Linked DNA regions of Ovis aries. The protein of the gene in region 1 purifies or fractionates together with the protein of each later gene. This does not show direct contact. Links are inferred from orthologs where the notes say so. Each region holds a gene or a part of one and is shown in the gene's direction. Other genes may lie near its edges.

Evidence for each region.
Region 2: the proteins of FOXM1 (region 1) and OTUB1 purify together in Homo sapiens (affinity purification with western blotting; 4 studies listed by BioGRID, with this or other methods). This does not show direct contact. The link is inferred for Ovis aries from reciprocal best matches to the Homo sapiens genes FOXM1 and OTUB1.
Region 3: the proteins of FOXM1 (region 1) and MYBL2 purify together in Homo sapiens (affinity purification with western blotting; 3 studies listed by BioGRID and IntAct, with this or other methods). This does not show direct contact. The link is inferred for Ovis aries from reciprocal best matches to the Homo sapiens genes FOXM1 and MYBL2.
Region 4: the proteins of FOXM1 (region 1) and CREBBP purify together in Homo sapiens (affinity purification with western blotting; 5 studies listed by BioGRID, with this or other methods). This does not show direct contact. The link is inferred for Ovis aries from reciprocal best matches to the Homo sapiens genes FOXM1 and CREBBP.
Region 5: the proteins of FOXM1 (region 1) and PLK1 purify together in Homo sapiens (affinity purification with western blotting; 5 studies listed by BioGRID, with this or other methods). This does not show direct contact. The link is inferred for Ovis aries from reciprocal best matches to the Homo sapiens genes FOXM1 and PLK1.

Annotation. Positions count from the first base shown.
Region 1 is NC_056056.1:212,732,016-212,737,381, forward strand, and holds part of FOXM1 (forkhead box protein M1), read left to right. Parts: intron 1-742; coding exon 743-871; intron 872-1,618; coding exon 1,619-1,663; intron 1,664-2,205; coding exon 2,206-2,275; intron 2,276-2,420; coding exon 2,421-2,596; intron 2,597-5,302; coding exon 5,303-5,366. UniProt on the Homo sapiens protein: Transcription factor regulating the expression of cell cycle genes essential for DNA replication and mitosis. Plays a role in the control of cell proliferation. Also plays a role in DNA break repair, participating in the DNA damage checkpoint response.
Region 2 is NC_056074.1:38,765,815-38,771,809, forward strand, and holds the start of OTUB1 (ubiquitin thioesterase OTUB1), read left to right. Parts: upstream 1-2,623; 5' UTR 2,624-2,644; coding exon 2,645-2,702; intron 2,703-4,869; coding exon 4,870-4,931; intron 4,932-5,178; coding exon 5,179-5,277; intron 5,278-5,995. UniProt on the Homo sapiens protein: Hydrolase that can specifically remove 'Lys-48'-linked conjugated ubiquitin from proteins and plays an important regulatory role at the level of protein turnover by preventing degradation.
Region 3 is NC_056066.1:72,203,671-72,209,036, forward strand, and holds part of MYBL2 (myb-related protein B), read left to right. Parts: intron 1-2,358; coding exon 2,359-2,430; intron 2,431-3,248; coding exon 3,249-3,341; intron 3,342-3,495; coding exon 3,496-3,716; intron 3,717-5,366. UniProt on the Homo sapiens protein: Transcription factor involved in the regulation of cell survival, proliferation, and differentiation. Transactivates the expression of the CLU gene.
Region 4 is NC_056077.1:3,648,691-3,654,056, reverse strand, and holds part of CREBBP (CREB-binding protein), read left to right. Parts: intron 1-959; coding exon 960-1,084; intron 1,085-1,669; coding exon 1,670-1,858; intron 1,859-3,301; coding exon 3,302-3,718; intron 3,719-5,366. UniProt on the Homo sapiens protein: Acetylates histones, giving a specific tag for transcriptional activation. Mediates acetylation of histone H3 at 'Lys-18' and 'Lys-27' (H3K18ac and H3K27ac, respectively).
Region 5 is NC_056077.1:21,879,472-21,885,367, forward strand, and holds the start of PLK1 (serine/threonine-protein kinase PLK1), read left to right. Parts: upstream 1-2,424; 5' UTR 2,425-2,531; coding exon 2,532-2,933; intron 2,934-3,595; coding exon 3,596-3,764; intron 3,765-5,143; coding exon 5,144-5,288; intron 5,289-5,896. UniProt on the Homo sapiens protein: Serine/threonine-protein kinase that performs several important functions throughout M phase of the cell cycle, including the regulation of centrosome maturation and spindle assembly, the removal of cohesins from chromosome arms, the inactivation of anaphase-promoting complex/cyclosome (APC/C) inhibitors, and the regulation of mitotic exit and cytokinesis.

The DNA of each region.
Region 1 (5,366 bases):
CATTTCCGCCAGTCTGCTCTCTGCGTCTCTGTCTCTATTCCTGCCCTCCAGCTAGGTTCATCTGTACCATTTTTCTAGAGTCCATATATATATGTTAATAGATGATATTTCTTTTTCTGACTCACTTCACTCTATAACAGGCTCTAGGTTCATCCATGTGTCTGCAACTGACTCAAATGTGTTCCTTTTTGTGGCCGAGTAATATTCTTCTGTATATATATGTACTATAACTTCTTTATCCATTCATCTGTCAGTGGACATCTAGGTCACAGCAGAACTCTCAGCCTCACACTCTCACCTCAACTAAATTCCCCAGCTTCCTGATTTCTTTTTTATTTTTTTGCTGCACCTTGTGACTTGCAGGATCTCAGTCCCCCGACCAGGGTTTGAACCCAGGCCCCAGCAGTGAGAGCACTGCGTCCTAACTGCTGGTACAACAGGGAACTCCCCAGCATTGTAATTTCTACCCCCACCTCTCTGGCTACCGGTTTTTGCCACAGCCTCACTCATCTTTCCCAGCCCCCAACAGCTGTTTAGGTCTCTGCTTTATTACCACCTCAGCAACAGCCCCAGTCTCTGTCCCCATGGGACAGCTGGGTTGGTAGCCCAGGTCACCTGGCCTGCCAAGCGGACAGTCCCAAGAGCAGCCAGCAGCCAAGGTTATGAGACACGAAGCCAGGGGCCAGCGGAGGTGGCGCTCGCAGAGCCAGAGTAGCTGATGAGCTGTGTCCTCCACTTTCAGAACTCCATCCGCCACAACCTCTCTCTACATGACATGTTCGTCCGCGAGACGTCTGCCAACGGCAAGGTCTCCTTCTGGACCATTCACCCCAGTGCCAATCGCTACCTGACACTGGACCAGGTGTTTAAGGTAAGCATACTGGTTTTGTCCAAATAGAGCCAGTGCTGGAGGTCATGATGTCCATCCATCTCAAAAGAAAACAAGTCCTTGGTGGGGAGGGGGGAGGCAGGCAGCCAACCTTCGGATAGGAATCCATCCTTCCACCCCCTCTGCCCTACCCCACCCCCAGCTGCCGGCATCCTAAATAAAGCAAACTTTCCTCTCCACCAAAAATAAGAAAGAAGCAAGTCCTCCTTGGGATGAGCTTGTCTGCTAAGGGCAGAGTTAAGGGCCAACCAGCCCATAAGGAACAGCACCTTCTCTGCTAGACCAGGCCCCAGAGAGGACTTCCTGTTCCAGAAAGGGGACCTCCTGGGGCAGGATGGCCCCTACTGCCCTGTGATAAGAACTACCTAGGATACTTCTTAAAGTACAGCCTCCCAAGCCCCTCTTGGGGCTTCTGATTCAGTAGGCCTGGGATGGGCCCAGGAGTATATTTTTAGCAAGAATCTCAGGTGATTCTTGGGTTTTTAAAAAGCCGATTTTTACAGTGGAGAGTAGAAACGGAGCCTACAGAATCTCTCGTCAGAAGCGATCACTTTGGGTCTTCAGAGTGCCCACAAGGCTGCCACTAGCCGCCTCCACTCTCCCGGGAGAGCCCATAGTTGAGGGTGGCCCTGGGCGTCCATCCGGAGTAGGTGTATCCATCTGGTCAGCTTGACTGCACTGGTGGTAACTTGGTCTCATTTCTCTCCCACAATGCCCATCCACCACCAGCCACTGGACCCAGGGTCTGCACACTCGCCCGAGCACTCGGAATCAGTAAGGTTCTTTCCCTCCCGCTCGGGGCTCGGCCTTGTTTCCCCTCCACGCTCAGCATGGCTTCGGTGACGGGGACAAGGTGTTAGCCGGAGACGGGAGCCTGTGGCCGTGTGCCTGCCAGCCCTGGACGCAGAGCCTTGCTTCTGGGCGTCAGGACACTGGTGACTGCCACCGCCTCCCACTCCCGTGGACTCATCAAGGTGGCCTGAGCAGAGCACGTGTGGCAGGGGGACCTGCCACAGGCTCACTGCAGGATGCTGATGAGGTGCACGGCACAGGCCCAGCGGGCGGCCGTTGCTCTCTCTTCTCTACCTGGCTTTTCTTTGCCCTCCTAGAGCTCCATGCTTTGCACCCTGGGGGTGAGGACACCTGGATGAGGTGGGAGGATCGCCCGCCGCCCTGTGCCTCTGTTGCCAACTTCCGGGACCAGGCGGTTGGTCCACTCCATGCCCGGTCCCAGAGCAGCTGCTGGTGGGGTCCCCTACCCCGTCCCCCTACCCTCCTGACCCAGGTCTGTCTCTCTCCCTCTCTGTCCCAAACAGCAGCAGAAACGGCCCAACCCTGATCTCCGCCGGAACGTGGCCATCAAAACCGAACTCCCCCTGGGTGCACGTTAGTATAGGGGGAGGCGTGGTCCCTGGCACACCCATAGTGGGGGCAGATGCGGGAGTCAGAGCCCAGGGAAGGAGAGCAAAGAACCCAGGGCTGGGAGGGGACCCGGCCCTGGACCTGCTCCTGACCGATCCTGTTCCCCCAGGGCGGAAGATGAAGCCACTACTGCCGCGGGTCAGCTCGTACCTGGTGCCCATCCAGTTCCCTGCAAACCCGTCGCTGGTGCTGCAGCCCTCGGTCAAGGTGCCCTTGCCCCTGGCAGCCTCGCTCATGAGCTCAGAGCTTGCTCGCCACAGCAAGCGAGTCCGCATCGCCCCCAAGGTCAGTGCCTCAGGTCTTCTCCGAGGAGAGACTCCAGTCCGTGACGGGCTCTGCTTCATGTCTGTTGAGAAGCTCGTAAATTTAGTGGGTAGACCAGGCATCGATACATAGGAAAATGCAAGTGTTATAAGAGCCAAAAAGGAACTTGTTAGGGACTTCCCTGGTGGTCCAGTGGTTAAGACTCCACACTCCCAGTGCAGAGGGCATGGGTTTGATCCCTGATCAAAAAACTAAGATCCTGCATGACACTCAGCATAGCCTTAAAAAAAAAAAAAAAAAACCCTAGTAAACTGTCCTTAAAAAAAAAATTCCCAATAAAAAGGAACTTTACAATGTAAGTGGTATTGGAAGGCCCACATGTGCCTGATGAGTTTGTGAGAATTGAGATGGGGGTGATTGTTATAGCAGATGGGCTGGGAGGTTCAGGAAGAGTTCACTAGGGAAGCAGGCTTAAGAAGTAGGTTGGGGCAGCAAACAGTGTGGAGAGGGCCTTGTAAAGGGCATGGCCTGGGGCACGCCCAGTCACAACCATAGAGTGGCTGGACAGTCTAGCCCTGGGTTTCTCGACCTCCAAACAGCTGACATTCACGGCTTCCCAGGTGGCGCTAGTGGTAAAGTACCGGCCTGCCAACTCAGGAGATGTAAGACACTCGAGTTCGATCCCTGGGTGGGAAGATCCCCTACAGAAGGAAATGGCAACCCACTTCAGTGTTCCTGCCTGGAAAATCCCATGGATAGAGGAGCCTGGTGGGCTACAGTCCATGGGGTGGTAAAGAGTCAGAGGCGACTGAGCATGCACAGTGCTTTGTGGGGGCGGGGTGCCACCCTGTGCCCTGAGGGATGCTTAGCAACCGCATCCATGGTCTCTTTGCCGGATGCCAGGAGCACCGCCTGGTGTGACAGTTAGGACATCTTCTGGTGTTGCTGGGAGTCCCCTGGGGAGAGCTGCTGCTGGCTGAGCCTCAGCGGTCGAGCTGGAAGGCTGGAGAGGGCAAATTACAACCCCACCATGACATAGAGAAGAGTCTGTGAGCAGGACCGGGCCTGTAACAGATTAAGGAAGGGCCCTTCTGCCCCTTTCTCAGAGATAGAAGTAGCTGCAACTTCAGATAGAGAGACTTGGGTTTGCTTTTGTTTTTTAATTTAAAAATATCACTTTAATATACATAAAAGTATATATACCGGCATAGATAGTTTTCCTTAAATGCCTTCATGTGATTGTAGCGTGGGTAATGTTTCTGTTTCAGTGCAGTCTTGCAGTTTTTTCCTCCTTCATTTTGCCTCTCCTCACCTTCCCCATGTCCCCCTGCTCCCCGTGATAAGCCATGTTGACAGTTTAGCGTGCCTTCTCCCATGATTCCTTCATGCTCTTAGTATGCTCTGCGCACATGGATCACCGTAACCATGTTACACATGCACACACACCACCCAGAGCCTTGTCGTATTGCCCTTTCTGCCCCATGGAAATTCTTCCAATCACTTGTCATCACTCTAATTCACAATTTTATTTAAGATTTTTTTTTTTTACGTGGACCTTTTTTTTTACGTCTTTATTGTATTCGTTACAGTATTGCTTCTGTTTTATGTTTTGGTTTTTTGGACTCCAGGGATGTGGGATCTTAGCTTGCCAACCAGGGGTCGAACCCAGGTCCCCTGCATCGGAAGGCGGATTCTTAACCACTGGATCACCAGGGAAGCTCCTTATTCGCTATTTTTCAATGGCACATAATAGCCCATGATGTGGCTGTGCCATAAATTTTCTAACCATTCTGCTTTCATGGGCACATTTTTTTCAGGCTTTTTTGCCCTATGACCAACATTGTAATAAATACCTTTGCAAGTATCTTTCCTTGCTGGTGCTTTCATTTCTGTGGGTAGAGAACAAGACATGAGATTGCTGAGGGGGCAAGTGTTTTAAAGTTTATTAAATACTGCAAGATTGATTTTAAGAAAAATCTGTGATAACTCACATACATACCAACAAGCCCTGTTTGCCAGCAATTGGTATCATCGCCCTTTTACAGTGCTTGCCCATGTCCAGTGTGTGAAGGATACTTGCTTGTTTCATTTCATCTTCTTCTCCTTATGCGTAAGTCAGCAGCTGCTCACCATGTTCGGTCACTTGGAATCGTTCACTGTGAGATGCTTATTTACACTCATGGCCTGTCTTCTTACAGGGTTTTGTTAAAAAGTTTATAACTTGTCTTTTCAGATATTTTTTACTCCTCTTGCTTGCTTCTTAACTTTATGATCTCTCTTGCTGCAGTAAGATTTCTATTTTTATATAGTCAAATATGTCTCTCTTCTCTTTTACAGCTTCTGGGGTTCCAGTCTTGGTTTAGAAGGTTTACCCTGCTGCTGACCCTCAGATTATAGACGTACTCTCCTAGATTTCCTTTCAGGATTTGAATGGTTTTAGTTTTTCTGATTAAGTCCTTGTATGAAACAGACATCCACTTTTATTTTCTCTTGGATGGGTGCTAATTACACCAGCGCCATAGAAGATGCTCTTTTTACCCCCAGAATTAAACTACCCCCTTCATCACACAGTCTTATATTTAATAGTCTTCAAGACTTTGAAGACAAGAGGATCGGCACCAAACCATCACGTCATTCATCTCAGCGATAAGCTTGGGTTCCCCCCGCCCTCCGGAGCCTGATGGCCTCTGCGGGGCTCCCTTTCAGCGTGTCCTGCTTCTCTTCCAGGTGCTGCTAGCGGACGAGGGGGTGGCCTCTCTGCCCACGGCAGGACCAGTGACAGAGGAGAAGC
Region 2 (5,995 bases), on another chromosome or scaffold:
GGATTGCGGCCTGTGCCACGTCCTGTTGCCTGGCCACCTTCCCTGAGAAGCTGGGCGGGCCTGGAAGCCATGTGGCTCTCTAGGGCCTCTGTACTGTCCTAAAACTCTTCGTCTCTGGCTGAGGTCACAGAGTCCTGGGTTCTGCATGGGGTCTCTAAAGAGGCATCTGTGCCAGGTCGGGTCTGTGGAACATGAAGTCCTAGGCTCCTGCCCATCACCTTTGTGACTTTCCAACAGCAGCCTGACCCCAAGCAGCAGTGCTGCCTGTTCCGTGATAGGCCTCGGAAAGCGGGACCAGCAGTGTGTGGCCATTCATTTCTGGGTTTGCAGATTGAAAGGCAGAAGTGGACATCTGGAGCTGGTGATTCCTGGCAAATATGCTATTGGGTTTTAGGTTCTTCAGGATGGAGAACCAAAACTCGAAAATGGTAAAAAAAAGTATCAAGAAAGATGGAATGAGGGTAAGAGAATAGTTAGTTATCACCAAATTGACATGGAAAAGAGCAGGGCAAAAGTTGACCATCCTGACACTGGATTAAGAGCCAAAGCTTCCCCCGGCCTGACAAGAGGGGGAGGGTGGGCAGCAGGCGGGAGAGCCCCTCAGCTACACACCCTGCATCCACTGAGGGTGGAGATCCGTTCTTTCAGCCCCAGACCCTTGTGTTGAGGGAGGCATTTACTTGGCGTTGGCAGCATGGCCGCAGTCCAGCACTGGACCACAGACGGATTCCTTCTCGCCCTCCAGAGCAACTGTATTCTCTGTCCCCACACCAATCCCGATCCAGCTCCCCTTTGCGTGCTCCCCACCCGCCAGACTCCCTAGTCAAAGTAAGGAGGTAAAGGTGGAGTTGTCTTACAGCTATTCTCAGGATTTTGTAAAGCCAAAATAGAAATCACGCTTTTGTCACCGACTGCTCCTCGTTTGGTAATACCAGTGCTACTGACTGAGGGCTTCCCAGGTTGCTCAGCAGCAAAGAGTCCACCTGCCAAGGAAGAAGATGCAGGAGACCCGCGTTTGATCCCTGAGCCGGGAAGATCCCCTGGAGGAGAAAATGGCAACCCACTCCGGTATCCTAGCCTGAAGAATCCCATGGACAGAGGAGCCCAGCGAGATACAGTCCACAGGGTTGTAAAGTCGGCCACGCCTGAACACGGCATGCACAAGCTACTAACTGAAGCTCCAACTGGCAGTTCCAGGTTGCACTGGCAAAACTGGGAAAAGGAATGAACAGCGTGTGTACTCTGGGTGTGTGTTGCGCTAAGTGGCTTTAGTCATGCCTGACTCTGTGACTCTGGGCGATAGACAGCCTGCCAGGCTTCTCTTTCCCACTAGTGTCGCCCGAGAAGCCCAGTGTGGTAGGAGTGGGATCCAAATGGGTAGCCCCTTTGCTTCCTTGAATTTCGAAGCAAACACAAGGATTGGTGGTGACCTAGGAAATAGTAATTTGCCATGTTGCTGGGGCAAAGACTTGGCATGTGTAGCGTTGCTGTGAGAGCGCCACTGTGGGCAGTGTGGTGAGCCCAGGCACCAACCGTCCCTACTCCAGAACTGGATGTAGCTCATGAAGATATTCATCCTATTCTGCACCTGTATTATCATGAACGGAGGGATCTGATTGGGGCTCAGACACGGCCTCCTCAAGTGCTAAGAGACCACTGTCATATCATGGAAAAGGCCCTCCATAGAGAAAGGCAAAGGAACAGTACCCCTGAAGGTGACTTCTCTAAATAACTGCATCTTCAGCATCCAAGGCCTTGACACTTTTTAAGTTTTATTTTTAGATAATTCACAGGTGATTTTAACAGAGTACACAGAAAGATCCTGGGTATCCTTTACCCACTTTCCCCCACTGGTAACATCTTGCGTTTGAAGCTACAGTACAGCATATTCCAGGATCTCCATATATATTCAAGATAAAGAGCACTTCTGTCTCCACAAGGATACTTCTGTTTCATTTTTATAACCACATCCACTTCCCTCCTTACTCCGACTCAACCCTTGGGAACCACGAATCTGTTTTTCATTGTTGTCAACTTCTATCTTAAAAAAAAAAAAAATCCTGATTTTCTCATAACCACAAGGGCAGGTAGTCCAAAGTAAGGTCGACCCCGAGGGACGTGGTCTCTCGGTCAGAAGCAGGACACCAAAGCCCGCTCGGAACCGAGACTCGGTGGAGGGGGGCGGTGAATTCCCAGAGCTCGGATATTAGCAGAATTCCCGGTCTCCTCGGCCAAGTGATCCTCATTGCATTCGCCTGTCTTGAGTTCTGGAGCCCGCAGCGGGAATTGCCTTCCGTGATTTGAATTTCATTTTCCTGCTTATCTCAATAATACAATCCGCGTTTCAAACTCTAGTGAAAAGAAAACTCAAGTGGCCCCAGGAAGCTCTTATCACCACCTGGCACATTGGGAGCCTGGAAAGATGGAACCGAGCAAGTGTGCGGGAGGAGGGCGGGCGGGGATTGCCCTCACTTCCCCGGCTTCCGCCGCCGCCGAACGAGACTGCGAGCCCCTCGGGTGACTACGCCCGAGGGGATCCCGTTGCTAGGGGCGTTACCAAGGAGGGGCCTCGAGGAGGGGCTGTCTTCCGGGGGGAGGCCGACTAGTAACCCGGAAGCGGTCGGCAGTGCGGCGCTGTTTAAAGATGGCGGCGGAGGAACCTCAGCAGCAGAAGCAGGAGCCGCTTGGCAGCGACTCCGAAGGTACCGACCAGGGGAGAGCCGCCCGGCCTGGGCTAGCGGGGGCGATGCCGGATGGCCGGTTCCCGAGGAAACCAGGGCTGGGGCGGCTGGCGGCGAAGCGAGCGGAGGGCCCCTTCCCCCGCGTCCGCCGCCTCCCCTCCCCCTCACAATGGAAGGAGCCGCCGCCGCGACCCCTGGCCGGCCGGGCGGCGGGAGAGAAAGCGGGCCGGCCTCCGGCCCGCGACTCTTCCCTGTCGCGCGCTCCTGGGGCGGGGCCTAGGCCGCTCCGCCCCTCCACCCCCCGCCCAGCCCCCTCCCCGCTGGGCGTCCGGCTCCCGGGTCCCGGCTCTCCCGCCCCGGACCTGGCAGTCAGGCCCGGGCCTAGTCCGGCCCCGTCTAGTCCGCCTCCTCCAGAGCGGCCCGAGCCCGGGAGGGCGTCGAATTACGCCGGGCTGCGGAGCACAAAGGACTGGGCGGGCCGCTGGGGATGCTGCGGGCCGCCCGGGGTTGTGAGCGGCCGTAGGTGTGTGCCCAGGAGGGCAGCGCCCTTCGTTTCCGGTAGAGTCCCCTCTCCTAGCCTCGCAGCCCCTTGCTTCCTGTCTCGGCATAGTTTCCTTAGACCCCTGAAGAGTTGGACCTCTCAAAACGGTCCCACCCTCTTCTTTTCACCCCTGAGTTAGACACTGGGGACTGAGGAGGTCACTAGGGTTGGGAGGGATGGCCCAGTTGCAGTGCAGTGTCGGGGGTGGGTGGAAGCCCAGCTGAGGCCCCGGCCTGCTCAAGATCAAAAGGATTGGCCTTAAAAGTCATTTAGCACACAGCTCCCTCTCTAACCGCACACTGAAAAACAGCTTTTGGGGACCTAGACCCTCCCCCCAATCCCCGAAGGGACTGGTTTAGGATCGTGTAAGTTAAGAAAGAACCAGAGCCAGGATTCAGGTCTCCTGGCTCCTCACCAGTGGCTGCTTGGCATGGGGCCCACAGGGTGGACCCGCCCAACTCAGTGATGAGTATTGAACTACACCTCTTAAGGTACCATCTCCTCAGGGCATCACAGTGAAGGGAGGAAGGTGGTGCTATCTGTCTCTATTCACAGCTGATGATGAGCCTCTGCAGTGAGGTGCCAGGGGAGTTATTGTGGCAAAGAGCCCAGGCTTTGCAATTAGACAAACCTGGGATTGACCACAGGTCTTCCTCGTCGCGACTTCGGGCAGGTGATTTCACCTGTCTGCGTTTTTGTTCTTTGTAAAATGGGCACCACTACGAATACCCAGGATGGCAGGTGGAGGAATGGTGTGACTGAGGAAAGCAAAGCGCTCATCTAGCCGAAGATGGTCTGCTTCCTCATCTGTCTTTCCTCAATAGACCTGGCTCAGGGGCCTTCCGGGCTGCTCGGAAGTGATGTTAGAGAGCAGGGGGAGAGGGCTTGTTCGAGCTGGAAGAGTGTACCCTGGGGGGCGATCACCTTGGCCTGCTTACTTTATTTTCCACCATTTATTTATACTTATTTGGCTGTGCCAGGTCTCAGTTATGGCATGTGGGATCTAGTTCCCAGACCAAGGATCAAACTCAGTGTAAGATCGGACCCCGGGGGGCCATGATGGGCCGCCCCTTCCCTCCCCCGTCGGCGGGGGAAGTCCCTAAGGAAGGGGCCTCCCAGATCCCGGGGACCAGTGACAGCACAGTTTGCCAGCTAAAGCTGCCCCACCTCCGCCACGTAGAAGGACGTATCAGCCCGTGACGCCTCGGCCCGGCAACCTATCCAAACCCCCATCCACTAACCTGGCCATCCCTCGCAGCGTGCATATATAAACAAACTTCTAACACGTTCTGGGCGGGTCCGGGAACCCCGCCCGGGAGCGCTTCGCCATTAAAGCCTGTTAGACACTCTTTTGGTGTCCTGGTCGTCTTTTACCTAACACCCAGGCCCCCTTGCATTGGGAGCTCGGAGCCTTAGCCACTGGACCTCCAGGGAAGTCCCTGGCCTCCTCCCTTTAAAGATGAGATAACTCATGCCCAGGAAATGGAAGGACTTTGCCAAGATCCCACAGTTGGGGTGGAGCAGGGCATGATGCATGCTTCCAGATTGCACGTCTGCTCTCCTGGCCCGTTCTTGTCCTCGGCCCAGCTTCCTGGAGTGGGGAGAGCCAGGGCCCACTGTAATACTTGGCCTTCTTCCTTTTTCCAGGTGTTAACTGTCTTGCTTATGATGAAGCCATCATGGCTCAGCAGGACCGAATTCAGCAAGAGGTGAGTGGCTGTGGCCAGTGGCCTTACTTTGGGGATACATTGGTTGGACTGAGGCCTACCGTTTGTCTTTACTGTGGAAGCTCCCTCCTCCCCAGGCTGAGCTGATACTAGATGCCTTTATGGGGAGAATGTGAGGTCCATGTGCCGCTGGGTGACTGGCCCAGCCACTCTCAGCTAGATGTTCGGGCTGACAGGTGTGGGTCACTCCATTTGCCTGTCAGAGTGTAATGGATTCCCCATCCCACAGATTGCTGTGCAGAACCCACTGGTCTCGGAGCGGCTGGAGCTCTCTGTCCTATACAAAGAATATGCTGAGGATGACAACATCTATCAACAGAAGATCAAGGTGGGAGCCTGGCCAGGGGACAGGAAGAGCCCTCGGGTGGGGGCAGGAGCCTGGCCACTTGATACCTGCGCTTGGCTGGGCCTGGCCTCAGAGGGGTGGACGGTTGGGGAGCCCTCTGGTCACTGGTTCACAGGTTGGCAGAGTCTGGAACCAAAAAGACTTTGATTCAGATCCTGACGCTGCCATGTGGCAGCTGTATCCTCAGCAGCTCCTTCGATGTCTCAGAGGTGTGGAGACCTCAGCTGTGAAATCGGGGTGATGAAAGCAAGGGTGCTTGTGAGGTTGCGGGAGACGATGCCTCGGGCCTGCTGCTGGCTGTGGGGAGCTGGTGGTCTCAGTGTTCATGGTGGGGCTGGTGGGCGGGGGCTGGCTAGTGGGGGAGGGTGCCAGCGGAGACACAGTCTTGCCCCCTGCTTCCGTGGAGAGGCAGGCAGCACTGGGGAGAGGGGCCCCTGGATCTTCATGTAAGGCCCTGCTGCCTCTCTTAGAAACTGAGGTAAGTCCCTTAACCACTCACTCCCTTCTCTCTGAGCTGGGGGTTTGCAGTGTGACTGTGTGTGTACACGGCGTCTCCTGGGCACAGCCCACCGCTGCTGCTGCTGAGTTACTGCAGTCGTGTCTGACTCTTTGCGACCCCATAGATGGCAGCCCACCAGGCTCCACCGTCCCTGGGATTCTCTAGGCAAGAACACTGGAGTTGGTTGCCATTTCCTTCTCC
Region 3 (5,366 bases), on another chromosome or scaffold:
GCCCTGGTGTGGCTGGAGGGAAGGATCCTTGAAGAGTTTTTGAAAAGGTTGATTTAGGGAAAGATGGAACAGAGTCCAGGGAGGAAGGCCGTGAAGCTTGGGCTCAGAGACGGAGGCTTGCTCAGCTGGCAGGGAGAAGCCAGTGACGATTTTTAAAGCAGATGAATGATGTGACCGTAGCTTCAGGGAGCTGGTCTACTGGATGTGGGGTGGATAAGAGATCTGGGGCTGCCTGAGGCTGAGCAAGCAGGGAGGGGCGCTGCGTTGTTCAGACAGAAGATGGCTGTGGCGGGATGAGGGCAGTTCAGGTAAGAGTCGACAGGTGGAGGGGCCCATGGGGCCCAGGAGGAATTGGAGAGTGGGGAGTTGTCCACCCCCGTTGTCAGGGAGGATGGTGGTGCTGGAGATGGACCCAGGGGACATGGGCAGAAGGCAAGGGTTGGCCTGACCAGGTGGGATGGGCAGCAAGGGAGGGTATGGTGTCTGGAGCTGACTGTGTGGACGTGGGCTGGCCCCACAGCAGGATTTATGGGGACTTTGTCCAGCTGGTGCTGGGCTGTGGCCAAGCTGCAGTTGAGGGTCTGGATGTCTGTGGTGGCCTTTTTTTTCCTCCTGCCCGGGAGAGAGAGTGTGTGAAAAAACACCGAATGTTAAACCACTGTAACTGTTCTCAAGTGTCTGTTGAGGACATGAAGCGTATTCTCACTGTGCAGCAGATCTTTGGAACTGTCATCTTGCAAAGAAAGCTGAATCATCAAACACTAATTTTCCCCATCCCCTCCCCCTAGCCCTTGGCAACCACCTTGTTTTACTTTCTGTTTTTGATTTCTTTTTTTATTTGGCTGCCCTCGTCTTCGTTGTAGCACATGGGATCATTTTTTCGGTGCCACATGCAGGATCATTAGTTGCAGCATTTGGAATCTAGTTTCCTGATCAGGGATTGAACCCAGGCCCCCTGCACTGGGAGCACAGTCTTAGCCACTGGATCACCAGAGAAGTCCCTGGTTTTTATTTTTGACTACTTTAGATTCTTCATATGAGTGGACTTAGGCTGTCTCTGTCCTTTTGTGTCTGGCTTATTTTGCTTAGCATAATGTCCTCAAGGTTCATCCAGGTTGTAGCTTGTAACAGAATTTCCTTGTTTTGAGGCGGAATAATATTCCACTGTATGGATAATACTACATTTTCTTTATATGTATAAATTAAAAAAAATAAGTTTGGGGGATTCCCTGGCCATCTAGTGGTTAGGACCCCAAGCTTTCACTGTGAGGACCTCAGTTCAATCCCTGATGGGGGAACTGAGAACCTACGAGTTGCAGGGGGTAAAAACAGTCAGTTTGCTCTAGGAATATTTTACACACAAACAGCTACAACTGTTGAAGTACAATCCAGTGAGTTTCAGTGGATGTGCTGCCGTGAAACTCACAGCAACACCACCTTGCTGGGTGTTCCCATCACCCCAGGCATCTCTTGCTCCCTGCTGTTCATTTCTTCCACCCACCAACCAACCCTGACCATGGACACCACTGACTATCTTTTTGTCCCTATAGCTTTGTTTACCTTTTCTAGAAGTTCCTCTGCACAGAATTAAGCAATGTGTACTCTTCTTATGTCTGACTTCTTTTTCTCATCCTAATGATACTGTGATTTTAATGTTGTTGCATGAATCAATAGTTTATATTCAGGAGAACGAGTTTATGTTCAGGAGAGTGTTCTAACAGATATGTTTTTCCATTCCAAGTGCCCACGTTTCCCTGTCTCCAGGGCTGGGTCACTGTCGTCTCTGGCCTGGATGCCTGTAATGGCCTCCTATCCTCCATTCTGCCCTCCTGCAGCCCTTTCTCCTGCAGCTGCCAAAGTGAAGTTCACAACAAGCACGTTGGACTGTGACCACCTGTCAGTGGTGATGCTTCAGTGCATCTGTGGCCTTGCGTGACGCAGAGGCCTGAGTCAACCCTGCGTGTGCTCTGATCCCCGCCGCCCCCGCCCCCACCCCCAAATCCTCTTGCCTCCCTGTCTCCTGCTTCCTGCAGCCTAGCCTCACTAGAGTTCCTTGGAGCCTGTCCCTTGGGTCCCCCATAGGCCTCATTGTCCATCTCTCCATCCCTGCAGCACAGAGTGGCCCTCCTTTTGTTTGCAGGAGCCTTTGATTAGCGTCTGCTTCCCGCTAGACTTTAAGTCCCCAAAGTTGAGCAGCTCTGATGCTGGCGTGCCTGGTGCACAGTTAGATGATCACTTCATCACGTGAATGGATGAATGAGGCTGTTCTCTTTGTTGGAGGGAGGGTGGGTCTCAGTCCAGAGCAGCCGCTTTCTGCACGCGTGTGAACTGAGCCCTCTGTCTTCCTGGCTTTGGCAGGACGAGCAGCTGAAGGCCCTGGTGAAGCAGTTTGGACAGCAAGACTGGAAGTTCCTGGCCAGCCACTTTCCCGTGAGTGCAGCCCCTCTGCCGCCCTCTCCCCCGGATAGGGAGCCTGGGAGAGACTTGGTGTCAGGGAGAAGAAAGGAGAATTCCTTACCAGGCGCCCCCGAGCTCTCCCAACAAAACAACCTTCCAGCCTCCTGAGGCCCTTTCTACCCAAACTGGAATCGGGGCACCCTGATGTAAGCGTCCCCACGTGGCAGCCTCTGGGTGCCTGGGGGCCTTAGGCTCCATGATCATGCGTCGTATCAGTGGCATATTTGCATTTCTTCCTGCAAGTCACTGACGAGTGGCTGCTCGGTTTCTCAACCGTGAAACTGAACCTGAGAGGAAATGATGCTTGAGCAGGCTTCATGGTGAGGCCCCCGCAGAGCTGACCCGAGCCACCATGTCCAGCATCTAGAGCCTCCTGGTGATGTGGCTCCCCCTAGGATCCCCCACCCCCAGCTCTGCAGGTGGCCGACAGGGAGGGGATGTGGCAGGAGCTGCTGTTGGCTTTCCTGGCTCATCAGGCAGCTCGGGGACCAGGTCACCAGACCCTTTGGCCCCATTCCTCACTCCCTGTCCTCTACAGGGTCTGAAACCTTCAGGGAAATAGCCCCTTTCAGAAGCAAGCGAGAATCCCTGATGTAGCCTGCAGGCTGGCACAGGGCAGTTGTGGGCAGTGGCTCTGCACAGGGTTCTGAGTTTGCCTGCTTCCATCCAGGCCCACTTGTAGCAAAGGGAACCACAGTGTCCTGGACCGTGGGTGTGTAGTGTGTGGGGGTTCTGGGAACGAGGTAGGGCCACAGGCCAGGAGTTCTCAAGGATGCCTGTCCTTTTCCCAGAACCGCACTGACCAGCAGTGCCAGTATCGGTGGCTGAGGGTCTTGAATCCAGACCTCGTCAAAGGGCCATGGACCAAAGAGGAGGACCAGAAGGTAACGCCTGGGCCTGAGCCTGCTACACCGTGGCATTCACGCACCCCGGGGGAGGGGGTCAGGAGACTGAGGATGACATCCCACTGGTGGGTGCTAGGGTGGGAAACAGGGGGTGGGGGGGGTCCCGCTGGCCTCACAGCGTCTTTCCCCCAAGGTCATCGAGCTGGTCAAGAAGTATGGCACGAAGCAGTGGACGCTGATTGCCAAGCACCTGAAGGGCCGGCTGGGCAAGCAGTGCCGTGAGCGCTGGCACAACCACCTCAACCCCGAGGTGAAGAAGTCCTGCTGGACGGAGGAGGAGGACCGCATCATCTGCGAGGCCCACAAGGTGCTGGGCAACCGCTGGGCCGAGATCGCCAAGATGCTGCCGGGGAGGTGAGCCGCCCGCTGGGGCCGGTCAGGGCATCCCCTGGCCTTTGTGGGGATGTTCAAGGCCTAGTCCGATTTCTCTGGTGGTGTTTACTCTTCCCAGAAGAAGAGGCCTTCAGATTCTTGCCTCGGGCGGTGCAGGGACCTGGCTGCTGGGAGACTGGAGCGGGGTGGGGCGGGCCTGGGGGCCTCCTGTTCACGGTGCAGGTTCTCATCTGGGCCCACTTGGCTTCGTGCCCTGGCCATGGTTGCACGCGTTCTAAGTCACTGAAGTCATGTCCTGACTATTTACGAGCCCGTGGACTGTAGCCCACCACACTTCTCTGTCCATGGAATTCTCTAGGCAAGAGTACTGGAGTGGGTTGCCGTGCCCTCCTCCAGGGGATCTTCCCAACCCAGGGATCAAACCCGTGTCTCTTGGATCCTCCTGCACTGGCAGGCAAGTTCCTCACCACTGTGACACCTAAGAAGCCACGTGGCTTGGGTTGCCTGGTCTTTTTTTTTTTTTTTTTTTTTTTAATAAAAGAGAGTAAGTCTCATTCCTCCTGGTCTGGACGTCCAAAGCACTGCTCTGTTTTCACTCTACTCCTCACTGGGCCTGGCCGCTCCAAGCACTGGGTCTCTCGAGGTTCTGCAAGGAGAACTGGAACAACTTGGGACTTGGGCTGCAGTCTTGCCAGATCGTCCAGGGTCCACCCCAGTCTCCCGAGTTGCTTCACACAGTTGCTTCTGGAAACTGTAAAAATCTCTTATTCACCACTACCATCTACCCTGCTCTCTTGTCTGTGTACTTGTGTGTGTGTGCATGTGTGTGTGTGTGTGTGTGTGTGTCTGTGTGTGTATGTCTGTGTGCGTGCGTTGACCACCCCGTATAGCACACAAGATCGTCGTCGTTCCCTGAGCAGGGATTAAACCCATGCGCCCTTCCTCAGGAATGCTGCATCCTAATCACTGGCCCTGTCCATGGGCATTTCTACTTTGCTTTATTTCTAATCTTTTCTTTACGATGGCATTGTGGTGCCAGGGTAAATGGCATGGAGGGAAAGGAGATAGAATACCAGATGGCCTGTTTTCCCTGGAGTCTGAAATACCTGTTTCCAAACTCAGACCTAAGTGTGTTAATACTTTTGGTGCTTCCACTAACCCTTGGATGGAGACTCTTCCCTGTGTGGCCAGCCTGACCTCGCTGATGCCACAGCCTCACCTTGATCCGCAGTCACCCTCGCTTGCCTATCGGGCTTTGCACTATGCTCTCCTCCCGCCCACAGACATGGAGCCTGGACGCCCCCTGCCTGGTGCCCACTGTGTAGCCAGCTCGCTCTCACCGTTTGGTTTTTGGTGGGGAATGTTTCCTCGGGGAAGGTTGGTCTGTCCTTCCCGCCTGTGGTGAGTCCCTGGCCACCTCCGCGTAGTGCCCAGACCCTCCTCTGAGACTGGTGGCCTATTCAAGCTGTTATTCTGGTGGAAAAGCACTCAGCCCAGAGCCCCAAAGAAGGCACTGTCCCTGTGTGTCCACAGTTGTGCACTGCTGCGACCCGTGTGCGCTGGGGCCGCTCACACCGACGCCGACGCGTGCTTCCGCGGCCCGTGCTTCCCTGAGCCTTGTCCCACTCTCCTCTGCTGCTCTGTCCTGCTCTGCTGCGCACCCATCGGCCT
Region 4 (5,366 bases), on another chromosome or scaffold:
TCCAGAAGAGCAGGGCCCTTTGTTCTGTGGGCTTCCTGGAAAGTCCTAGTTACTCAGGGGGACATTTCTCACTGGTGCTGAGGGGACCGGTGCTCTGTGATGCCCTCTCCTGCTCCACAGTTAAGGCTGTGCCTCAGGATTCTGTTCACGGCCACAGGACTGGGCTAAGTCCTGAGACTTACTGAAGCAGCATTTACATTGAGCTCAGAGTTCACAGAGGATTGTGGGAAATTACAGGCAGAGAGGCTCCGTGGCCCAGAGTCGGGTAGCGGCTGGGGAGGGTTGCAGTTCACGGTGTGGCACCCCTGGGAAGGCCGAGGCAGCCATGAAAGTGAGACCTTTCCAGTCGGCAGAGAGGAGGCTGAAGCTGAGAACCGCCAGCCCTTGGGCACTTTCTAAATGCTTAATGTCCTTGCAAAATTAAAGCCAAGTTTTGAGTCTTATCCCAGATTCTAACAATAAATGTAAGCCCAGCCAAAGAGCTGGAGGGCCTGGGGTGATGGGAGCGGGCTTCCTGCCGGGAGTCAGGTGGTCCAGAAGGCTCTGAGGGGTTGGCTCAGAGGGTGCCCTGGCCTCAGCAGGCCTCCTCCATGCGTGGTGGGTGCTCCTTCCCACCGCCCCACCCACCCATCTGCCCCGTCACTCGGACCCTGGGATGCTCTGGCGCCGAGTGCTGCCTTGGCTTCAGCTGCTCGCAGCTTCCCTGACGCGCCACCTTCCTCTCCTCACGCTGCCCTGCCTGCTCCCCACCCACCGCCTCCCCACCCCATGGTGGTGCCGTTGTTCCTGGATCTGAGCAGTCTGTTGCTCAGCCATCTTTTCTGATTGACTGGTCTCCTTTCAGTTGTGTATGTAGTGTGTGTGTTCCATCTTATTTGGCTTCAAGTTTCTCTAGCAAATCGTCATTCTGTTTTCCTGTGGGTGCTTTTCCTAATGAACTGTTGTGGGTACGTTTACAGGGATGAATTCATTTAACCCAATATCCTTGGGGAACGTACAGTTGCCACAAGCGCCCATGGGACCGCGTGCGGCATCCCCCATGAACCACTCTGTCCCGATGAACAGCATGGGCTCTGTTCCAGGGGTAAGTGCTTGTCCTCCGCTCAGCTGTGCTGAGACGGGCTTGCTGCAACAGGACAGTTCTCCCGCGGGAGCTTGGAGGTTGGGAATCCTGTGGCGCTTGTTCCTTTGGATAGTGTTGTGCTTTGGCAACTCCATCTCGCCCTCTGGTCCTTATTACTACAAGCATTATTTGACCGTCACTTATTTTTACTGAAATGAGAGATTCCTTGGCACCTGTGACTTTGTGAGAAGATGGGAGTTCTGGGGATGTGTGACAGAATGAGAGGAAAGGTGTCAGCATCCGCTGGCTCTCAGAGCGTCCTCTCCTGAGGCTGCTTTCTAAACTAGTCCGAGAACTCCTAAAAGGCGTATGTGAACTTTATACTATGGCATGCTGTTGATTTCTGTTCAGAGGACTGTGTGGAGCTGGCTCATTAGAGACCTGCGTGGAAAAGTGTGCAGAATGCCTGGGAGCAGGGAGGTCTTAGTGCATGGGGGGGGTCCCCTCCTGTGACGGGGGGAGTTGCAGATTCCCCTCTCTTTCGATTCACCCTGGAGACACGGGCCCTGCAGCCCTCTAAACGCAGTGGCTCACGCTGTCTTGTAGATGGCCATTTCTCCGTCCCGAATGCCTCAGCCTCCGAACATGATGGGCGCGCACGCCAACAGCATGATGGCCCAGGCGCCTGCGCAGAGCCAGTTCCTCCCGCAGAGCCAGTTCCCGTCGTCCAGCGGGGCGCTGAGTGTGAGCAGCGTGGGCATGGGGCAGCCAGCGGCGCAGGCTGGCGTTCCACAGGTACTGTCCATCGTTGTAGTTGTCATTTTCTTAATTTTTGTTTGTATGTTTTAAATTCTAAGCTTCACATGTGATCCTGAGAGACGCTGGTTTTTGAAGAGGGAGGGAGGAAAAATCCCTTGAGTTCACGCTTAATGGTTCAGCACCTGTTGGTCTAAACTGCCCAGGCGAAGTCCAGCTAACTGGGCCATTTGAGTAGTTCCCTTCTTATTGAGTGTGTTTTCACTCATTCAGTATAACGCTGGCGGGGACTGTTTTCCACTCACCTTACTGCCTTTCCCCGACTTCTATTAACTGGTAGAGTGCATCAGATTGCTGCTGTGTACAAATGTACACATATTTAAAACAGACCAACTGTTCTCCTGAGAGGTCAGATTCATTATTTAACTTAACATGAATAACATTGAATAAGAGGCAGTGACTACACTAGATTCACTAAATAAATACTTATTAGTTAATTGTTTTTTAAAATTTTATTTGTTATTATTTATGTTTGGCTTGCTGAGTCTTCCTTGCTGCGTGTGGGCTTTCTCTAGTTGCAGTGAGCGGAAGTTACTGTTGGCGCAGTGCCCAGGCTTCTCACCGGGGCAGCTTCTCTTGTGGAGCCTGGCCTCTAGGCTTGAGGGTTTCAGTAGTTGTGGCGCGCAGGCCTAGTTGCCCCACGACATGTGGAATCTTCCCCGACCAGGGATAGAACCTGTGCCCTCTGCACTGGCAGTTGGATTCTTAACCACTGGGCCACCAGGGAAGCCTGATGCCTATTAATTAATTCTTAATCTGCATAAATTTTATTTCTCTAGCAAAGAGGTCGACAGGTTCGTCCTGTAGATATTTTCAGCTTGGTGGGCCGTGGGGGAACTGCTCTGCTCCACTGTTGTGACACAGGCAGTCATAGACATGTGCATTCACATGTGAGTGAATGGACAGGCTGCTGGCCAATAAAGCTTTATTGACAGAGACCAGCAGCTAGCTGGGTTTGGCCCTGGGCCCTGTGTGGTTGGCAGATCCCTGCTCTAGATTCAGAGTAGCTTTTTAGTTGGCCCACAGGTAATTCTGAAGCATGTCCCTAGTTGAGAACTACCATATTTAAACATTTCAGTGTTTGAGTAACTCATTTTTTTTATAAAAGACAAATACCTTTTCCAGTGGTCTTAGCTGTTGGTGGATATTATGGAACATGAGCTAGTAACTGGAGTGTATGTGTGTTTGTTTAAGCCAGAGATTTCTACACTTACGTAAATCAAAGTCTGATTACTACAAAAGCAGGTTACTATAAGTGTGCAGGTCAATGACATGTTACAAGCGGAACGTTCCCATGTAGTCAGCAGACCTCATCCGGAAACCGTGTCAGGTTCTCATATATTTAATTCTTTATGTCTGCTGCCACATTGTCAGACGGAGGGGAGAACAGTTTTAACTCTCTCTTTTCCTTCTGCCTGTCAGGGGCAGGTGCCGGGGGCTGCTCTTCCCAACCCCCTGAACATGCTTGGGCCCCAGGCCAGCCAGCTGCCTTGCCCACCAGTGACACAGCCGCCACTGCATCAGACCCCGCCTCCCGCCTCCACAGCCGCTGGCATGCCGTCTTTGCAGCACCCAGCAGCTCCCGGGGTGACACCCCCCCAGCCGGCGGCGCCTACCCAGCCATCAACTCCCGCGTCGTCTTCCGGGCAGACTCCCACCCCGACTCCCGGCTCCGTGCCCAGCGCCAGCCAGACGCAGAGTACTCCTACGGTCCAGGCAGCTGCCCAGGCCCAGGTGACCCCACAGCCTCAGACCCCAGTGCAGCCTCCGTCGGTGGCCACCCCACAGTCATCGCAGCAGCAGCCGACACCCGTGCACACGCAGCCCCCTGGCACCCCGGTGAGCCCCTCGGCCTGCGGCCGTCTGCCCACAGAGTTGCAGATGAGAACTTGCCCCTGAACAATTGGTCGTGAAGCACCACAGGTCTTGGTGCAGCTGCACAGCGTGTGTGTCCGCAACCTGATGGAGCTGTAACAGGCTGTATGTTCATTCCAGAATGGGCTCTGGAGGCCAAGTTTGGCAGGACATGACTTGTGATTATCTTCCCAGTTAAACCAGCTTATAGAAATCAGCAACTGAAAGAGCTCGTACATGGGTCCTCTGTAGAATATTTGAACTATCCACAGCAACGTCACCTGTCACAGGTGGTGATCCCTGAGATTTAGTTGTCTTGAGGGTTTGGTAAACAAGTCAGGTTTTTAATTGTACGTACTTTGACCTTATCCGTCAGCCTTGTTTTCCAGCTGGAAGCTCTTTCTTTTTCATGACAAAATGGCACAGCCAGGTTAGCACTTCTGTGGCTCAGATCTCCCCACTCCTCCGGGGAGGTGGCAGTGGCAGGGTCACAGCACATCCTGTGTCCCAGTCCTGTGCTCTGCTGTGGCAGCCGGCCGGGCCCCCCCACGTGGGGCCATCCCCACCCACCCCAGGGGCCTGAGGCTACTGTTCCTCACCGAGCCATGGTATCTGTTTTCTTACCAGCCTAACTTAAAAACTTCCTTCCCCCTGAAATGCATTAACTTTATTTGTGGGGACTGAGGATATTTATTTATAAAATGTCAAAATTAATCCCAAGATGAGTCCCAAGATGACACTTTTTATTTTTCCATAGGGAGTGTTCTTCTTGTTTCTTATTTTATATTATCTCTGAATAAGATCCCTTTATAATGTTATGTTTTGTTTGTTTACTTAAAACTCTTATCAGGTAAATCTTTGAAAACTTGAGAGTTTTTTTTGGAGATTTCATCTCTTAATATTTGTTTACTCCTCTACCACTGTTCCTGCAGTTAACAGGCTAGTTATACACTCTTGTTCCAAGTGAAGTGAAGTCGCTCAGTCATGTCCGACTCTTTGCGACTGCATGGACTGTAGCCTACCAGGCGCCTCCGTCCATGGGATTTTCCAGGCAAGAACACTGGAGTGGGTTGCTATTTCCTTCTCCAGGAGATCTTCCCAGCCCAGGGACTAAACCTGGAGCTTCCCTTGTGGCTCAGCTGGTAAAGAATCCGCCTGCAATGCGGGAGACCTGGGTTTGATCCCTGGGTTGGGAAGATCCCCTGGAGACAGAAAGGCTACCTACTCCAGTATTCTGGCCTGCAGAATTCCATGGATTGTATAGTCCATGGGGTCTCAGAGTCGGACACGACTGAGCAACTTTCACTTCACTTCACTCCCACATTGTAGATAGACGCTTTACCGTCTGGGAAATCCATATAGGTACCTTATTCCCCTTCTGACAGTGTATATACACATATTTATTATTCATCCTTTTAACAAAACCATTAGTATCATTGTTGGAAAGAACTGAATTTAAAATAGGTTCTCTGACTTATGTAGAAAATTCCCAGAAGATAATTTTCTGTCATAGTGTAGAAAGCTTCTGCTCTCGCATCTCTGCATTGTTGGCAAGAAGTCAGTTGTGTCTCTGCCTGATGACTTCTCTGGAACTCTTCCTTTAACTCTTGCATCCTTCAATTCTCTCAAATAG
Region 5 (5,896 bases), on another chromosome or scaffold:
AAGGCCTGTCTCCTAGGCCTGCACCTGGCAGCCTTCTCACTGTATCTTCACATGGTTGCCCCTCTGTCTGAATGTCTGTGTCTTAATCTCTTCTTATAAGAACACCAGTCATATTGGATGGGCCCACCCATTTTACTTTAATCACCTCTTTGAAGGCCATATCTCCAAATACAGTCACCTTCTGTACTGGATGTTAGGACTTCAGCATATAATTTGGGGAGAACACAGTTCAGCCCATAACATATCCTGATCAATTCCTGAATATTTTTCCAGTTAAATTATATTAAAATATTTATCTGCAAAATTATTCCCATGTCTCTTGCACACAGCCCTTCTGGATGAAAGGCCTGGATGAGAATAAAAGATTATTGAAAAAATGTCAGGTTAGTATTGCTGATCAAAAGCCTGGCACCCAGGGAGCTTTGGGGGCGGGGAGAGCATTTATGATCTTCATTTCTCAGAAATATTCTGGAAACTTTCCCCTTTTCCTGAAGGAAAGCTCCCAGTGCCGTCAGCTGGAAGATTGACCCTCAGCTGGCATCTGGGTTCTTGAATTTCAGGAGAGTTCTCACCATTCCCTAAATGACAGGAGTTGCTTACTGAATTTAAACTGTGTAAACTGTGGTTTATGCTGCATGCCTGCTTTCCTTCCAGGAGTGTAGAATTTTGGTGTGTTACAGGCAGAGGGTGCCTGTGTGACCAAACCCCAGAAAAGCCCTGGGCTGGAGTCTCTGATGAGCTTCTCTGGTAGATAACATTTCACACGTGTTGTCACACTCATTGCTGGAGGAGTTGTGTCCTGTGTGACTGACTCCACTGGGAGAAGACTCTGGGAAGCTTGTGCCTGGTTTCCTCTGGATTTTGCTCTATGCACCTTTCCCTTGGCTGATTTTGCTTCATAACCTTTCACTGTAATAAATCCTAGTCATCTGTGAGTAGAACTATATGCTGAGTCCTGTAGGGGGATGGTCTTGGGCCCCCCCCCCCCCGCCCCAGGGCACAAGGAGGACTTACGGGGTGGTTGGTCGTGTACTCTTTCTCAGTCTGGGTGCTGCTTACATGAGGTGTACTCATTTTGTGAAAATTCACTGAGCTGTCCAATTAACAGATGTATACTTTTTCGGTACATAGATTCAACTTTATAAAAAGATAAAACAATATTGTACACCACAGGGATTAAAAAATAATAATTTTTAAAAACAACTCCCTTTTATTTATAAAGCATTTTAGTCACTCCTTTTTGCCAAGCATTGTGCTGAGAGCTTGGGACATGGGGTAGGAAAGATGTCTTCATTGCCTCTGAGTTTATTGGGAGTTATGTAAAGAGATAACTGATATGACTTTTGCTGACTCCTAGCAAAGACATCATAGGATGCTGGGCTTACAACTTGAGTGATTCTCAGGGTTGCCACTTAAGTATCTATGGAAGCCAGACAGGCAAAGGGGCAAAGGAGGGTTATCAGGGAACTCTGACAAACTGGGAAGGTATGTTAAGTAAGCATAGAGTTGCAACAGCTAATAGTTTTTTCAAAGTTGCATTTTTATGTGAGCTGTCTTGATTTTTCACTCCTGTATATGAATCCAAATTTTAAAAAGTGAAAGACCAAACAAAACACCTCTGCAGCCAAATTTGACCTTGGCTTACCAGTTTGCCAGGCATTCTGCCAACCTGTCATCTTTCCCTCTTACAAAACACTTGAGGGTCCACTATTTTAGGCACTGGGAAATAGAGCAGTGAGCCAGCCAGACAATTTTCTTGCAGAATGACCCTGGCGGGGGTGGTGGGGTTCTGGTACTGTACTTCTCAAACTTCAATATGTGTGGGAATCACTGGGTAGATTCTGAATTGGGGGGGTCTGCGTTGAGGCCTGAAGCTTTGGCTTTCTAACAAGCTCCCAGGTGTTGGTGATGTTGGTGGCCCCTGCTGTTATTTGAAGAAGAGTAGGGGGTTTGTCTGGAAGATGCGTTTGCCTGGCAAGCATTCTCTTTAGACTTCGATTTTAGTTTATGGGGTGATTTGGAAGAGAGCTGGTGACTTCCGGGGCGGATGTTAGGGCTCCCCCATGCTGTCTCTCATTCTAGGTCTCTATTCTCAGAGTTTATAATCTAGAAGGCGAGGTGGGGATGGAGGAAGGTGCTGGGAAAAGCTTCCTGGAGGAGGTCCTCGCGGACTGCAGGAGCTTCCCCTGCCGTCGAGAAAGGAGAAACCCTGAACGCACCCTCTTCTGGGGCGGGGTCTCAGCAGCCCCACACCAGCTTTGGTTTCCCAGGCATCCCACGTGTCTTCCGTCCGCCATCCCTGCCAATCAAGCTCCTCCCAGGGCCTGGGTGAGAGTTTAAAGGCGGCTGCAGTGCCGAGCGCTCCCAGAGTGCCGCGCGGCGGGCGGGTTTGGATTTTAAATCCCCGCGGCCAATCAGTAGCGCGTAGGCTCTTGTAACGTTCCCGGCGCCGCGTTTGAATTCGAGGAGAGGCAGAGCCGTGCCAAGCCTCTGCCTAGACCCTGCTAGGTCCGCTGAGCAACTCCGGGAACATGAGTGCGGCGGCAACTGCAGGGAAGCTGGGGCGGGCACCAGCCGACCCAGGGAAAGCGCCCGGAGTTGCAGCTCCCGGGGCTCCGACGGCCGCCCCGCCGGCGAAAGAGATTCCGGAGGTCCTAGTGGACCCTCGCAGCCGGCGGCGCTATCTACGGGGTCGCTTTTTGGGGAAGGGTGGCTTTGCCAAGTGCTTTGAGATCTCGGATGCGGACACTAAGGAGGTGTTCGCGGGCAAGATCGTGCCTAAGTCGCTGTTGCTCAAACCGCACCAAAAGGAGAAGATGTCCATGGAGATATCCATTCACCGCAGCCTCGCTCACCAGCACGTCGTAGGCTTCCACGGCTTTTTCGAAGACAACGACTTCGTGTTCGTGGTGTTGGAGCTCTGCCGCCGGAGGGTGAGTGTCGCTGCTGGGGAACTGGAACTGCCCTGGCGTCAGGGGTTGGGGCACTGGGAACCGGAGCTGCTGGGGAAGGGGCGCCCCGGGGCTCAGAGCTGCTAGGGAAGAGGTGCTGGGAACCTGGAACTGGAAATGGAGAAAGTCTTGGGGAGAGGGAAGGTTCTCGGCACTTGGGGCCTCTAGGGAAGGCGGCTTCTGAACGCTAGGAGTTGGGCGGATTGGGGGAGGTGCGGGAGAACCTTGCTTATGGACGCCAGGGCTTTGGAGTTGCTAGGTAAGGGATATTGCGGACCCTCACTTTCCCGAGTAGGGTTGGGTCAGGCAGAGGGTAGTTGGAGCCAGACTTCGGAGCTTCCGGGGGAGGGGAGGGGCAGGAAAGGGACCTGTTGCTGCCAAGAGTTCCGGGACCGGGATACTGGGGTCTCTGAGCTTCCGGAGGGGTCTGAGAGAGGGGTCCCAGGTAAGGGTTTTGGGAGGGAGCCAGTGGGAGAGGGTTGCTATGAACTGTTGCGGCCTGGTTTTGGGGGGGGGGGGAGTCTGGATCGCAGTTGTCCTGAAGAAATGGTTAGTAGCGTCCTGGCTGCCTTTACCTAATGACACTCCCTCCCTGCCTTGGGTCTGAGCACCGGCTCCCATTTCTCCTTCCCTCCTGCTCCCAGTCTCTCCTGGAGCTGCACAAGCGGAGGAAAGCTCTCACGGAGCCCGAGGCCCGCTACTACCTGCGGCAGATCGTCCTGGGCTGCCAGTACCTGCACGGAAACCGCGTTATTCACAGAGACCTCAAGCTGGGCAATCTCTTCCTGAACGAGGATCTGGAGGTGAAAATAGGTAAGGAGCTGGGACTGCAAGGGCATTTGACATGCAGTGGGAATGAGGAGGAGCTGGGAGGGAGGGTGAGGGAGAGGAAATTTGGAAAGAGACAAGGGAGAGAGGAAGAGGATGGTAGGAAGTCTGGGCTGTTGATTGGCTGTAGAATCCTCTCTTAGGACAGGAACTTAAAGAGCTACAAACCAGTGTCTTGTCTGCAGATGTGCTTTGAGGGGGGCAGTGTGTTCTATACAGTTTGTTTTTTTTTTTTAAGAATTTGGATTTGTTTTCACTTTTTAAAAATATTTTTTCAATTTACTTATTTCGGCTGCACTGGGTCTCCGCTGCTGCATGCCTTTCTCTGGTGCGGTGAGTGGGGGCTACTCTGCGTCGCATGTGCGGATTTCTCATTGCAGTGGCTTCTCCTTGTGGAGCGCAGGCTTCAGCAGTTGTGGCTCCAGCGCTCTAGAGCACAGGTTCAGTAGTTGTGGCACATGGGCTTAGGTGCTCTGTGGCACATGGGATCCTCACCGACCAGGAATGGAACCTGTTTCTCCAGCATTGGCAGGTGAATTCTTTACCACTGAGCCATCACGGAAGCCGCTCCTCATTTTCACTTTTTTAAACTGAGAGCCTTGATGTAAAACTTTGAATTTGGAGCTCCTTTTAAACACTCGAGAGCTCCAGCAGTACAGGGGTAGCGTTCCCTCAAGACAGCTCTTTGCTGTACTGAACAGCAGCTGTTCCCTTTAGATGCCCTATGGTTTGCCACATTCCCCACCCCTCCGTATCACTTCCTCACAAACTTGCCAAGTAGCCATCTTGACATTTACTTGCTTAATCCCTGAAGGTGTTTGAGTTTTGCTATCCCTGTCAGTCGGAGAAGGCAATGGCACCCCACTCCAGTACTCTTGCCTGGAAAATCCCGTGGATGGAGGAGCCTGGTAGGCTGCAGTCCATGGATCACGAAGAGTCGGACACGACTGAGCGACTTCACTTTCACTTTCATGTGTTGGAGAAGGAAATGGCAACCCACTGCAGTATTCTTGCCTGGAGAATCCCAGGGACGGAGGAGCCTAGTGGGCTGCTGTCTGTGGGGTCACATGGAGTCAGACATGACTGAAGCGACTTAGCAGATCCCTGTCAGTTCCCTTTTAGAAGTAAACCCCTCCTTTCTAAGGGGAGGGGTGATGAGAGTCTTTGGGAGGCCCTTCCCTAGGGCCAGCATGGTGGGAGGATTCCTGGGTAACAGGAATCTAGTCCTTGCTGTACACAAGGACTAGAGGCTTTGAGAGATCACTTGACCCTGGTTCTTGATGGTTACCAGCTGAACCAGCTGTCTGCATTGACAGACGACAGAAGCTGGCATCTGAGCCTCCCTCTTCCTCCCTCTGTCCCAGGGGATTTTGGACTGGCAACCAAAGTGGAGTATGACGGGGAACGGAAGAAGACCCTGTGCGGGACTCCTAATTACATAGCTCCTGAGGTGCTGAGCAAGAAAGGGCACAGTTTCGAGGTGGACGTATGGTCCATTGGGTGCATCATGTAAGTTGGGAGTTGTCTCAGGACCCACCAGTCTCAGCAAGGGGCTTTCTGGACATCTCACTTGGCAGGCTTTATCCTGCAGACCTTTCCGCCTTTGGAAAGACTGTTCCAGAGGACAGATGGTCTCTGAAGGAACCCTCATTGCTGAATTGGTATATCCTGTAGGATTCCTGCAGCCTGGGCTGTGGGTTCAGGGAATGAGGGAGGGAATGTCTCCACAAACTTGCTCTAATCCCTTGCTATTCAAAGTACGGCAGACCAGCTGCAGCATCACGTAGGAACTTGTTACGCAGAATCTCAAGACCCAGACTAACTGGATCACAATCTGTATTAAGACCCTTGAGTGATTTCTATGCACAATAAAGTATTAGAACCACTGATCTAAAAAGCAGCATTGGGTGGGAAGAATTAGGCCAGGAGTGGTGCTGGCAGGAGGAGGTCCTGTGGTCTGTCTGGGTCAAGGCCATCAGAGGTGGGTGGTGGGCAGAGAGTTGGGCCTGTTCAGGTGTTACCCCTTTTGTTGTTTCCCTGGATACTGGAGAGTTAGAAATGGCTTTCCTACTTCTTTGCCTTGGAATTTCCCACATGAAAACTTGCAGCCTAAAGTA